Linked DNA regions of Astyanax mexicanus. The protein of the gene in region 1 purifies or fractionates together with the protein of each later gene. This does not show direct contact. Links are inferred from orthologs where the notes say so. Each region holds a gene or a part of one and is shown on either strand. Other genes may lie near its edges.

What was found.
Region 2: the proteins of chd8 (region 1) and kpna5 purify together in Homo sapiens (affinity purification with mass spectrometry; 3 studies listed by BioGRID and IntAct, with this or other methods). This does not show direct contact. The link is inferred for Astyanax mexicanus from reciprocal best matches to the Homo sapiens genes CHD8 and KPNA5.

The regions. Positions count from the first base shown.
Region 1 is NC_064415.1:51,094,330-51,101,563, forward strand, and holds the start of chd8 (chromodomain-helicase-DNA-binding protein 8), read right to left. Parts: upstream 3,153-7,234; 5' UTR 3,045-3,152; intron 1-3,044. UniProt on the Homo sapiens protein: ATP-dependent chromatin-remodeling factor, it slides nucleosomes along DNA; nucleosome sliding requires ATP. Acts as a transcription repressor by remodeling chromatin structure and recruiting histone H1 to target genes.
Region 2 is NC_064411.1:31,759,100-31,767,099, reverse strand, and holds the start of kpna5 (importin subunit alpha-6), read right to left. Parts: upstream 3,246-8,000; 5' UTR 3,136-3,245; intron 1,813-3,135; 5' UTR 1,803-1,812; coding exon 1,674-1,802; intron 1-1,673. Other genes in the region: zufsp (zinc finger-containing ubiquitin peptidase 1), read left to right, coding at 5,068-5,602, 5,699-5,806, 7,315-7,377, 7,498-7,605. UniProt on the Homo sapiens protein: Functions in nuclear protein import as an adapter protein for nuclear receptor KPNB1. Binds specifically and directly to substrates containing either a simple or bipartite NLS motif.

The DNA.
Region 1 (7,234 bases):
ACTGGTCTGCAAAAAGCAATCAAATTTCAAAACACACTATGCAGTCTATAAGCTGTAACACTGAGCTGGTTGTATATTTGATGTTTTTTTGTGATCTCACTAACTCAGACTCATTTACATACATCATCCCATTCAAACTACAGCAGATTTATCCCTCTTATTGACACTTGTATTATCACATTATAGCAGACTTAATGGTGCAAGAAAAAAATCTTTAATTTTAATTTTAGGACTAAAGAGATCAAACACTGTTTATTATAACAGCAATTACAAACTTTTACAATAATAATTGTTGATGTGTTCTCAATATATCGTGATAAACTAGTGAATCTTGAGTTCTTTCCCATACACAGCACCAGCCCTTAGTTTTCTCTGTGTTTACTGAGTGATGAGACAAATTAATGTAAATCAGCTGGTATGTCAATTTGATTTGAAAACATATAGTCGTTCATTTTTGGATATTTAATAGTTTTCATAGTTCAATTTAAAGGTCTTTAAAATACTATAGGATAATGCATCATAATGCTATAGAATCATTAACATAACAGTGCAATAAAGCGGTCGAACACTGACAGTAAATAAGTATGGCTCAATAATATCTGGGACATTATGTAAAACATTTAATAAATTAATTAACATAACAAACGTAGCTAATAGTTAGTTATAACTAGATTGCAGTGGCTGTGAAGTCAGAAGTACATTTTTAAAAAGTAAATATTAAACAACCCAACAATAAAATACAAAGATAAGAATATTTAAAGGTAACAGCAGCAGAAATATATAGTGTGTAAGGTGAGGCACCCACTGTAAACAATATAACCTAGTAGGTAACTAAAGTGGCTGTGTACTGTAAACATTCAGTGAGGTTTTCAGTGACTATTTTTGGTAAGTAAGCCTACAGGTGAGAGAAATGTATAAAATTAATTATTTTTCCATTTAATGATTTCCTTATTTCTTAGACTTTATAGATTAATATTAAATACCTGAAAACAGTTAAGGGACACATATGAAATTACATAGTAAACGGTTAAAAAAAAAGTGCTCCTCTACAATCACCTGATCTAAACCTAATGAACTGAGATGGTGATTTGAGGTGATTTGGGATGAGCTGGAGCTTTACAGTGTGAAGAAAAAACAGCAACTATTGTTCAGAACCTAGTGCTGAGAAAACTATTCCAGGTGACTCTACCTCAGGAAGACACTGAGAAAAATCTATCCTTAAAGATAAATGTGCTACATAGAAGAATTAAAAATATAAAACATATTCTGGTTTGTTTAAAACTTTTTGTTTACAAAAATAAAAAATCAATTTAAGACTACCAATATAAAAATTCAAAAACAAGGTAAACACATTGAATAAGAAGAGGTATGCACAAACTTTTGACTAGTAACCTATTGTATATGACTTGCCAGGTAAATAAAGGAATGAAAGTAGGAGCTAATATATAGTCTAGACTCTCTTTAACGTGAACTTACACAATGAAACAAGTAATAACTCGTATAGTGCCTCTAAACTTACTTCAATTTACGCTCTGTGGTCTTTAAAAATAACAATAATCAAATGCTCTACAGATATGACGCCAAAAGTTCAGGCAGAAATGGGGCTGCTGCTACTAAATGTCCTCATGCAGCACCAACCTGCCTATGTAGCTGTAGCTACATTCACTGGCCATTCATATACTGCTGCATACAGGAGAAAAGTGAAGCTAACAGGAGGTGTTTAGGTTGACATTCTGGTTTGTTTAACACTTTTGGGTATTTTTTTTTTATTTTGCATCTCCAATATATTACATTTTCAATGTAAAACAAATCAAGGAAATGAGAAGAGGTGTGTCCAAACTTTAGACTATTCTACTGTACATAGGCAGGCAAATAGAAGAAATAAAAATAAGGATAAAACACAAAGCCTAGACTCTGTTTAAGATGAACCCAGTGACCAGTAGTAAGAACGCATATCTAGTTTATCATAATAAAGCAGATAGATTAATAACATACTTTAATGTACAATCTGTGGTCTTAATAATAATACTCTCTACATACTCTATAGATATGAAGCCAAAGGTTCAGGGCAGAAATGTGGCTACTGCTGTTAAATGTCCAGAGCTGTATATATTGGCAGGTAAATAAAGAAAGGAAATTTAGGAGCCAATATATACCCTATGCTCTGTTTAACAAGAACTGACATAATGAAACAGGTAATAACTTGTGAAGTAAGTTAACCTTAAATCTACTTGAGTTTATGTTCTGTGATCTTTAAAAGTATCTATAATAAAATCGTCTATGAGTTCAGGGCAGACCTGAGGATGCTGTTAAATGTCCTCGTGTAGCATCAGCCTGCCTAATAATGTGTTGCTGTATAGCTTTAATTCATTTAATATTCTATGTACACTGTAAAAAAAACACACTGAACGAGAAGAAGTGTGACCAAACTTTAGTCTTGTAACCTACTGTATATAACTTACCAGGTAAATAAAGAAATGAAAACAAGAGACAAGATATAGCCTAGGCTCTGTTTAACATGAACTGACATAATAAAACGGATAATAACTCGTACTGTAACTGTAAATTTACTTCAGTTTACGCTCTGTTGTCTTCTAAATTAACAATAATAAAATACTTAAATAAATATGATGCCAAAAGTTTAGGACAGAAATGGGGCTGCTGCTGCTATTGCTAAATGTCCTCATGCAGCACCAACCTGCCTATTAATGTGAGCTGTAGCTACATTCACTGGCCATTCATATACTGCTGGATACAGGAGAAAAGTGAAGCTAAGAGGAGGTGTTGATTTCATTCATCACAGGTGTAAAATACGAGTCTCCATCATTTAGCTACTTTCATCCCTCTCGTTCATCATCAACAAACCGGACCAAACCAAAGGCAACGTGCTACAAAACCCATAGCCCTGACTACCAACACACACGGAGCAGGCCGCAAAGCTGTTTCTGTCGGGCTGACCTGTTTACTCGGGTTAAATACCCACTAAAACGCTACAGTTCGCTCGTCTAACTTTCTCAGTAATAAATTCAGGGTGCTAAATTTACCTTTGCATCGACACACATGGCTTTCTCCGTCTCACAACACTGTACGATTACAGGAAACGGCCAGCGTACAGCAGGAACTATCTTCTCGCCAGGAAGATCCGTCGAAGGCGCTCCCCTATCCCTCTCCGCCGCGTTCTGATTGGGCAACGCTGACCGGACCCGGCGCTGCGGAGCTCTCTGATTGGCCTGAGCACACGCCCGTCACCGCGCCGTGCGGAATAATCACAGGGCGGGCTCGGTCAGGGAAGGTAGTTAGTTCGGTTGAGGTCGCAGTCAATGCGGCCTACTTGCTCTCTATCAGTACAGCGGGTGGGGTGATCCAGGTCCAGAGAGTAAAAATCCACCCCGGGATTTCCGTAGCTGCTATACAGGCGCACATACAGGTTATTTAAAACCCTGCGATGGATTTTTACTTTCTAGACCTGAACGTGTATCTTTCTCATCAGTGGGGGTTTCCCGAGCTGTCTGGCTTGATAGAATTCACGGTGATGGCAGTAAAATATCATCAGCACAGCCCCGAGAATCCCCCGCTTTAAACAACACCAATCCTGAAATTCTGCTGCTTCTTTCAGTTAATTTTCCCCGTTCCACCTTAAATGGCGCAGTATATTATTAGACATTATTAGACATATTGCCTCATGTTCATCATAAAGCTAAACTACCTATAATTAATATTTTATGTATTTATTTGAAATGTATTAGAATATATGTCTTTTAAGCACGTTTTCTATTTTTTAAACATTCCACCTTAAATTGTGCAGCATTACGTTCATTTAAGGTGGAAAGAAATATGGAAACAAATAGACAAATTAACCCGTATGGACGTCTTAGCAAAGCAGGTGTAATCCACGCTGTTCGGGAACACATATTTTTGTAAGTCGCTCTGGACAAAAGCGTCTGCCAAATGTAACGTAATGTAATTTATATGGTACATTTTCACGCATTGATAGCATAAATATCCCATAAGTGTATTTCATTTTTATGTTATATTTTTTCTTTAAGCAAAAAAAAAAATACTCTTTTATAGACTGACATACACACTATACTATACTACTATACTATACTATATATACTATATTACTATGCATGAGTGTGTAGTGTCACTTAATGCCCACGAAGTGCAATAAGGCTTAAAAAAACAAAACGGGAATATTTTGTTTTATTTTCCTTTTTTTTTTTGACAATCTGTTGAAGGTGAAGAGAATTAACACTTATTGATCATCTTGTTGCAATGACACCTACCTTGCTAACAGAGAACTTTATAAAAGTTGTATATAAAGGTAAAGGTTCCATGAAGGTTAGCTGGAACGTTCTAAAAACATGTGGCATAATAAACGAGTACTGGATGTTAATCTACACAGATTTCTCTCCTAAAAACTGTTTATTTGGGCGAGAAAAAAATGCTTTATTTTATTAACAGTAAGCTTAGATTTCCAGATGTCCACTAAGACTGGGTGGAGCGGCATTAGCAGATAACTGCTAGCGCTAACGAGGCGTAAATGCCAACTGACGGCGCTACACGTAAGGCAGGGTGATATTAGCTAGTGGTTTGTCCTATGTAGCTTGTTGTAACACATAGGGTTGCAACGGTATGAGATTTTCACGGTGTGATAACCGTCTCAGAAAATACCGAGGTATCACCGTTATCACGGTATCACAGTTTGTTACATATATCATTATACTGACCCTTAAAGAAATTACAACAAGAGTTTTTTGTTCAATTAACTATTTATTGTAGAAACCTGGAACAATTATATAGATAATTTCTCCCTAAAAAAAATAAGCTGTACACCATCAGGTTAAGGAAACCAGGTTTTTCCACTACTCTTAAGGGCATTAAGAGTATATATAAAAAAAAATATATATATATATATATATATATATATATATATATATATATATATATATATATAAATATATATAATATAATATAATATATATATATATATATATATATATATATATATATATATATACATACATACATACACACACACACACATACACACACACATTACACACATTACATGTCCTCTAAGAAGTAAAGATCCTGTATTTAAAATATTCAGTACAATTATTTAAGTTTAAATTATTTAATATCTGATAAACTGAGCCTGGATCAGTGTCTGATCAACAACTGTTGTAAACGTCTGTTTTACTGCGTTGGTATATAAGCAGATACTGCAGAAAGAGGGGATTTATTTCTGACATGATCCTCATAATAGGGATTTCTATTTTAAGGCTTTCACGCCGAGTCTGGTTTTAACATATGAAAAACAGGCACGTCAGAATTTGAAAATGAACGCATATAAATGAATAGCGTCTTTCACATCCAGTCCGGCCAGGACCTTTACACGGACACGTGAATCCATCGTAGCATGCACTTCACGCCTGTACCTGTGTGCCCAAATTTCTGATAACTTCGGCGCTTACCGCATGGGTTGTGCACGACTAAAAAGAGGTTTTATTTAGGTTCAGATTAAAATTATAAACTAAACACATACTTTGCGCTGCACAGCGGGGTAGTGTTCTCGGAGATGGGGGACAGGTTTGACGTATGTCCACCTTTAGCTGTGACTTTACGGCCACATTGATTACAAATCGGATGACCATCCTCGGGTGCGTTCGGTGGGTATCTGAAATAGTCCCACACTGCTGATTTTAGTTTAGCCTTTTTTTAGGCGGACGGAGATTTGTTTAGTCTGATGCACTTTCTGCTGTTCTCATTGCTGTGTGCTGAGTAGCTGAAGCGGAGCAGAGCTGCGCATGCGCGGATGAGTTTCTCCGCTGGCTTGCGTTTTACCGGTAGTAAGCAAACACACACGGTATGATAGCCGTGTATTTTAATACCATGGTATACCGTGAAACCGGTTACCGCTGCAACCCTAGTAACACAGTAAACAAGCGGGCTACAGGCCAATATACTTGTCTATGAGTAGCGAAAGAGCTAGTGCTTAATGTGGTTAGGGGGTAACGCGAATTCTGCTCCAGCAGTGGTAGCCGGGGCTAGCAGAAGGCTACAGTCCGATAATACTGAACTCTGAACGGGGAAAGAGCTAGCACTTAGCGTGGTTAGCGAGTAATGCTAATTCTGCTCCAGCAGTGCTAGCTGGGGTTAGAGGCTAATGCTAACATTGCTTGAGAACTAAACTGAAACGCCTGTATAACGCTGTACTTCAGCAGAATGGCTTTACTGCTCCTTACAACCTGACTGGTAGAATTCACACATAAGGCACAACGGATTTTAAAGTGCACTGATTATTTTTGGGATAATTAAAGGATTTTAAGTGCGCCTTATAGCGCGAAAAATACAGTATGGAGGCTTACTGGGGGCTTTTCCCCTAACACTCCAGAACTCTCTAGTGGGTGCCAGCAGGACTAGTGGTAGCAGTGGGAGCAGATAATGCTTACAGTAGATAGATAGCAGTTTACTCTACAGCTAATTTGCTTACAGGCGTAGGTCTGAACAAGCGCTAGAATGTGCCAAAAGTACGATGAGCTAGAATGACAATGATCTAATGTATTATACACCTGTGTATGTACACTGTGCCAATGTATGAATGTGTGTTGTTGAAAGAGAGAAATAGAGAGAGAGATAGAGGGTTATTTTTAAGTGTGTCTTTGAAGCAGTTGAGCGTAAAAGACTGATAGTGACAGGATACCCTGGTACAGCCACAGGAGTCCTGCATAGGCGTGAAGGTCTGCCTGCCAAAAGCTCCATCTGTCTTCCCCTGACCAGTGCCACTGTATGTTGTAACTGTTTTCCACTATGAAGGTATGGCTCTCCTATTAGTGGAGAACTGTGACTATTAGAACCAGCCCTTCAGTTTGGGCTGAACCTGTCAAACTGCAGCCAATTAGGAGAGAAAACCTAATTAAGCTATGTTAATGCTAATTTCCGCTAGCACCCCTATGGCAGTATATCTCATCCCTGCTCCTGAAGGTACACTGCCCTGCATAGTTATGCTGAGTTCACAAGATAACCATGTTTGCTCTGTTAACCTGGAAAAATAATACAGCTCTGGAAAAAAATAAAAGACCACTTAAAAATGACGAGTTTCTTTGATTTTACCAAATCAACATAATTAAGAGGAAGATGGATGATCACAAGCCATCAAACCAAGATGAACTGCTTGAATAACGTTATTCAAAAGCAGTGTGTAAGACTGGTGGAGGAGAATATGCTAAGA
Region 2 (8,000 bases), on another chromosome or scaffold:
TATATTTAACTTGCATAGGTAATTTGTGTGAAAAAAACTAAATACATAAAAAAAATAAAATACATAAATAACAAGCTATTTACTATTTATGTTAGTCACATCACACTCTTTTGAGCTTTTGTAAAACTTTAGTAATGGTGCACAGTTACCAAAACAGTGTTTGAAAGATTTTGGACACAAAGTTATGCAAAACTTATGCAAAAGTTTTGCATAACATCTTTCACATCCTCCACCTAGACATACAACTGTTTGTATTCTGAATTTATCGTTTTAATTTATCATTAATTGCAAAATGAATATGTGAAATTTCATTTTCACCAATATGTCATTTAATTGCAAAAATATGCTGAACTACATACATATTTTATGTACAGCTCTGGAAAAAAATAAGAGACCACATTAGTTTGTAAAGCAGTTTTACAATTTTAATATTTATAGGTATTAGTTTGAGTAAAATGAACATAATTGTTTTATTCTATAAACTAAAATCTCCCAAATTCCTAATAATTCTCAAATAATGCAAAAGAAAACAAGTAAATATTTTTTATTAAGATTTAAGAGTTCAGAAATTAATATTTGGTGGAATAACTCTGGTCTTTCATCACAGTTTTCATGTATCTTGGCATGTTCTCCTCCACCAATCTTACACACTGCTTTTGGATAACTTTTTGCCACTCCTGGTGCAAGAATTCAAGCAGCTTAGCTTGGTTTGATGGCTTGTGATAATTCATCTTCCTCTTGATTATATTTCAGAGGTTTTCAATTTGGTAAAATCAAAGAAACTTATTTTGAAGTGGCTTTTATTTTTTCCCAGAGCTGTATATATAAACTTATACGTTGTGCATGGCTGAAACAGGCAATTCCACATTCTGTTACTATGAAATCTCATGCAGTTGCATTGTTTGAACACCAGACGTCAGATTTCTGCTAGTGCTGATCCGAAAACCCAGAGACCTTTCTAAGAAACATCAAAAGGAAGGCACCTGCCCATCATATGAATCGTATGTACAAAAATTGTTGGCCTAAATGAAACAAAGCATAGTTGTTTACCAAATCCAGATTATGCCTATATTCATTAATTTGTAACTACATGAGATCTCTCATGTGAGTCATGTCTGTGTTAAATTCTGTAATGATCTACTGAGCACAATGTGAGATCAATTAGGATGCTCTCCTTGTCACATGCCTACAACAAATGTTGGTCACTCTGTTTTGCTCGATTGCCCCAAGATATTATATAATATGATTTGTGGTTGGCATGCAGGAGAATCTGGAGTCATGTAAGAGGTGGGACATCTATTACAATTACACTGCCTAGCTTTAGAAGAACACAGGATAAATTACAGTTTTCCTGGTTGAGGTAATGTTACTTTTAACATAAGTACAGGAGCAAGCTACTAAATGAAGCTGAAGGGCAGAGTGTAACTGCTAAAAACATGGGTAAGAAGAGTATTTAAAACTTTCGGGAGTTTATCATTTCTGAGCTAAAAACAGCCTGTGTGTATGTGTGTGAGTAAGAGCAAGAGAGAAAGAGATTAGGAGGAAATATTACAGGATTTCAGACTAATACGAATTAATAGGAACAAACCACTGGACGTGGTCCAATTCCACCCTTTGGATTTGTCTGATTCTGCAACAAAGTGTACTTGAGTAATACTGCTTTACAGGCCTACCTGTTCTTCTCTCTTCTGTTTCCGCAGCTGGATGCCCTCTTCCTCCCTCCGTCTTCTCATCTCCTGCGGGTTCAGGGCCTTGTTCTTGTAGCTTTTCATTCGATAACTGTCTTTTCCTGGACTCGCCATTTTTGTTGTCCTAGTGGTCATACAGCAAAAGCTGATCAAATTGGTCTTGCACGCTGTGCAAAAGTTTCAAGTTTATAAGTATATAAAATTCCAGACATTTTTATTTCACATTTAAAACTTGCACTACATGATGATGGCTCAAAAATGTCATCAATATCCATAAATTCTTTCGACTTTCTTTTCGATTACAATTTAGATTTTTGGCTCTTACATAACATCAGTTATTTTAATATGTGACTATTAACACTCACAATATGCAGATCAGACAATTAATAATAACGCCCCCCTGCTGACGTCCAATCATCTGGGTCTCACTGCTATCAGAGGCATACTGCTGCAGCAGTAGCTCAGCCAATCAGCTCTCTCTCCTGCCGCACCTCTAAACCCATACATCACTCAACGCCCCTTCCAATTTTTAGCCTTTTTCCAAATTTGAGCTGAAGGTGGGGTCATCAAAAATCAGGGGGTTTAGTGCCCCTTAAAGACACTTTTAAAGCACAACAATATTTAACAATCCTTTAAGTGGTGTAGACAGAACATTAAATAATGATTAAAAAAATCTCAAACTGTTTTTATTTTATTTATTTTAATATGGAAAAGCTGAATATAGTTATACTAAACACATTAGCATAACTGTATGCTAACATTAGCTAGCTAGTCTCAGCAGCCAATATTATAGAAATACCACAAGTTATATTAACTATACAGCTTAAAAATGTACTGTATTTAAAAGTTAATCTGTATTTAAAAAATAAATCAGGTGGGATTTTGAGTTCTAAAACTGGTAGCGCTAAATAACAGCTGGTTTATTAGTAAGCTATGATAGCTAGCGTTAGCTAACTAAGCTAGCTAGCTAGATGCCAGGTGGGGCAACACAAAACTGAACCCACCCATTCCACCTTAAAGAGTAGAGTAGTTACCATAAACATATATGAGCAGTTAAATTCTGGAGTCTGCAGGATTTAGCTGGCACTGCTGCCCTGTATAAGGTGGAACGGACAATTAGATTAAGAAGGCAACTCCAGCATTTTGGAGCATTAAACAGCACCCAACTAAGATGTATGTTAGCATTACAAGCTGGTAAACCAATGTAACTGGGAACAATGTGTTTTAATCCGCACTAAGAAGGAAATTTATCTGTTTTTTCTTGGTTTCGCAACCCAAATATACCAGCTTTGCTCGCTAGTGCTAACCTAACGCTAGGTTAGCAGAGCTAATGCTAAGCTAGCTAACCTACGTCACTCCGCCTCTGCCCTCCTTTCTCAGCGTAATTAAAGCCCCTAATCACCCTTAACCCAACCTAAAGTCACACCGGACGGTGACTGAGGCTCACCTGTTCACTTCTAGACCCCAGTCCTGTGCGGATAGTCGCTTTTTTCGTGTTTTATTTGCTGTTCCGTTCCTCTCGCCTCCTTCCCGATTCACTCCGGCTGAGGAGGGCAATATGGCGTCCCCAGGTTACGGCCGAGAAGCGCGTCACTTCCCGCGATGTTTCCAGCGGGTCAGGCGAGGAAAACGAAAATAAAGAGGCTGAGTTTCAGTGAAATGAGAACCCGGAGAACCTGAGGTGCAGCGAGAAAAACTGATTAACAGGTTAAAACAACTCGAGTAAGTATTTAACCTACACCATTTAAATGTAGCTAGATATGCTGGAGGTTTATCTGTGTGTTTCTATTGTCTCTGAATGGTTGAATATGATTGAATACATTGAAGGGGCTCATTCATTCTGTCTAAAACATGCCATCGTCCTCGTTTGATTAAAAAAGCAACATATTTCTGACTTCTAGTGCACGAACTTGCATGTGGGAGTGTTTATTTAGATTTAGATCCCTGCTGTAAACAAAACTGCACAGCTCCAGCTGGTTAAGCTAAGCCGGTTGACCAGTTTAGATTTTGTCCAATGTAGAGTATGTTTCTGTTTTTGTTAACACAGACTTTGATGGTTTAGTTGCTCTACAAGCATGACAAACCAAAAAAAGCTAGCTAGATATCCAAACTTGACCATGCTCTGCGACCAAGCTGGATATCCAGAATAACCAGCATGTACAAGCTGGTCAATCTTCAAAACAAATAATACCAAGCCGGTTGACCCGCAGGACCATCCTGACCAAGCAGGTTAGCCAGAATAACCAGCCTGACCAAGCTGATCGACCAGCAAGACCCGCCTGACAAAGCAAGTTGACCTGTATGACCAGCATTATCAAGCTGGTTGGCCAGAATAACCAGCCTGACCAAACTGGTTAACCGTTAAGACCAGCCTGACCAATCAGGTTAACCAGAATAACCAGCCTGACCAAGCTGGTCAACCTTCATAACATTCATTACCAAGCTGGTTGACCAACAAAACCAGCCTGACCAAGTATGTTAGCCAGAATAACCACCCTGACCAAGCTGGTTGGTCAGAATAACCAGCTTGACAAAACTGGTTGACCATCAAGACCATCCTGACCAAGTAGGTTAGCCAGGATAACCATCCTGACCAAGCATGTTGACCTGTATGATCAGCACAACCAAGCTGGTTGGCCACAATACCCAGCCTGACCAAGCAGGTTGACCACCAAGACTAGCCTTACCAAGCAGGTTAGCCAGAATAACCAGTCTGAATAAGCTGGTCAACCCTTATAACAATCTTTACCAAACTGGTTGCCCAATTGTTGATAAATATGGTAATTTAGTTGGCCAAGGAAGTGTTGCAATAGGCATTCCTGGTAAAACCCTTGATGAGTTTAAAACCCTTAATGAGTTAGCATTATCCTGTTCCAACTGTTCCAGTTGGAAGCCCTGCCGTGAGAGGCATCACGTGGCACATTTTAGTGGTTGTCTGTTGTATCACCCAGCGGTTGAGGCTTTTCTTAAAGTCAATAAGGTTTTAGTCCTTATCAGTCCAGGTTTCCTGGTCACAACACCACTGTAAAGGGCGACGTTTGCTGGATGACTGGCTTATGGTTTGTCAAAAATGACCATCCTGCTTTGCTGAGTCCATTGATGTACCCCATTTTGAAGTGAACTTGGCAAATGTCTTCACATGCATTGTAGAAGCAGGTCTAGCAGTCAACAATCTCTCACCAAGTGATACACTACTGAAAAGTAGCCCCTGAGAGACTTTTAATGTAATGCAGTGGGAGAAGCACTTTTACGCCCCTTTAAAAAGCACATTATTATAATATAATATAATATTATAACAGTACAATTTTGAGATGCTTCATGAAACACTTACTGATTCTGCACGTTTACTATGTACTCCACTGACAGAAGCTGTCCCACCATGCCTGTTTGTGACATCTGCTGCCAAGAGTTTGCATCTGAATCAGAATTAAAAACCCACCTCCTTCTGAGCCACCTGGAAAATGAGATGAGCTGTCCGTTTTGCTCGCTATCAGGAGTCTCCTACGATGAGCTGAACTTCCACATTAGTACTGCACACACAGAGATGGATCTTCAGAACTCACCCACTGACAAGGCATCAGCAGATCGGGTACCAGACCCCACTGAAACCAATGGTGCTAAATGGACTGTGAAGAATTCGCCAGCCTCTTGTAACTCATGGAGAACTCCAGCTTCCCCTCAAACATCAGGTCATCACACTCTCAAAACAGCTAATGAGACGGCTGCGCCTAGTGCAGGAATTGCACTTACTCAAGGTCAAGGAGCCCAGTCCAGGATTAAATCCTCACCTCCTGCGGCAAGCACAGCAAGCGCATCTAAAAAACAAACATCCAGCGTCCACCCTGGGCAGTCTGAGGATTACTCAGCAGAGCATTGCAAGGCCAAACAGAAACGCCTGTCCTCCCCCAAGAAAGGTATTCATCAATAAAATGTCTTAATATATTCTTATATTTATTTTATAGTGGCCTTTGTTTGGATATGTTTGGTTATTTATGGTCGTTTTGTTGCAGAGAGGATGTTTCCCTGTCCGTTCTGCAGTCTGGTCTGCAGTGACTGCTTTATTCTTCAGGAACACGTTGAGCTGCATCTCCAGGACCAGGCTTCATCTGCATCTGAAGGTAGTATAGCGATTGTTACTGGTGTTTTTCAGTGATTTTAGTCTGGTGTAAATGTGCTATGATGCTCCTGGGTCTGTATAGATTCTTCTATTTATTTGTTAAATATTATTAAATATTGCCTATTTTCTCAGAGTGTACAGAGGTGCTCAAGAATAGGACCTTGGTGAAATGGAAAAAATAATCTTATCACAATATAGTTTTCCGTGTCAGTCGATATCGATATGTATCACCATATAAATCAATCACTGTCACACTTAAAGGGTTCTTTTTACTCATAAGTGAGAGATAAGGGAGTTATTTAGTCAGAAGGTAACAAATGAACATTATATAACTATAATATATATATAAATAAATAAATAAATAAAAGCATAACACTTCATTCAAAGATCAGATGTTACAGAATAAAAAAGTAGGCAGAGAACTAAATTCTTTGGTCAGTTCCAAATCAATAAAACCTATCATACAAAATAAAGTATTCTTTTCTTTTTATAACAAAATCTTCAAGCAACTTTCCAATGTAAACAAAAGAGAACATATAATTTACTCAGTTGTGCTCAATAAATCCTCATTAGTGCAGTCCTGTCTATTAGTGCTGTCAAATTTTCACACCAGACATACCCTACTACAGGCTGCGGGCCAGGAAGACAAGTCTGTCCACTGCCTCGTGTTTTAAAGCTGTCCTGTGGCAGGTCACAATACAGAAACCAATATATTTATACTAACAGAAGCAAATACTAATAAATAAATGAATAATATAGAAATAATAAGCATACTTAATGGCAATTTACATTACAATTTACCAACTCTCCCTCTCCACAACACAACTGATGCTCTCAAACACAATGAGAGGAAGAGAAATTCAAGTAATTCACTCTTGACAAGTTCAGCACAGCTGTTAACCGAAAGCTGATCAATCCAGGTGACTCTACCTCATAAAGCTGACTGAGAAAATCCAGCCAAGATGTGCAAAGCTGTTTCTATCTAAGCAAGAGGTGCTACTTTGAAGAATCTAAAGTATAAAACAGATTCTGCTTTCTTCAACATTTGTTTTTTGTTCCATATGCTTTTCTTCATAGTCTGGATAGCTTTAGTATTAATTTACAATCTGTCTTGTCAATAATCCAGTACGTCATGATAATAATAATAATGCAATCGGTGCACCAATGATTGGAGTAAAATAAATGGTACCTGGTAGATATAATTGTTTATCTGGTAGATATTATTATGTAAAATAAGAATAGTTTGATTTTTATTTCTTAAGCAGCAAACTAGTTCTGTATACAAAATATATACATTGCAATATCGATGCTGAAATGATATATTGTGCAGCCATAATTCTGTGTGCAATTCATTTTTGATTATAAGTGTATTTTACTGATGTAACATTTACTGTAAAATGAATTGCATCCAAGTAGGGTATAATACTATTAACACTGTTGTTTTTCTGTGCCGTAGCCATAAATCTTACTATATAGGCAGTATTGCATATGCTATTTTGTTGTTTTCAGGAGCTGTTCCTGAAGCAGGAGCATCAGCACAGGCATGTTCTTCTGTGAGAAACGGAGAACCAGGTGAAAAAAGATATTTGATTGGATTGGTGCATGAATTAAAAAAATGTGTCTAAAATGGAAATGCATTGTATTGCTTAAATTCAGCTGTGCATTACCTGGGCTTTAATTTGGAACCGGTAGGTTTTCCACTGTACGAGTGTCCGTTGTGTTCCTTGGTCTGTGTGGACAACAGCTCGCTGCAGGAGCATGTAGAGCTGCATCTGGAGTATGGCACGGCTGCTGCTGCAGGTAAATTGATGGAAATATCAGCAAAGCATTATGCAGTTATTCTGTTCTATCATAAAGATGCGATAATGTGTATTAGACGTAGGACACATAATCATGTCCATTTATGACAATTGAGTTTCGGGTCTGGTGTCCTTAATATGTCAATAACAGATGTTATTGCCCTGCCAGCAGCACTGAGGAGAGTTCTCAAATGATAAACTAAAGAGTCTATTTAGAATTTGCAGTCTGGGATAGTTTTACAGTGGAGCTTAAAATATAATATAAAACTATCACAGAAACGCTCTGTTTTACCAGTGAGGAGAACTGCACACCTTGGTAGGTGGTACCAAGGAAGGTCAGGTAGGTCAGTCATATCAATTTATAAGATATTCAACACCCTGTAAAAGGTAATGTTG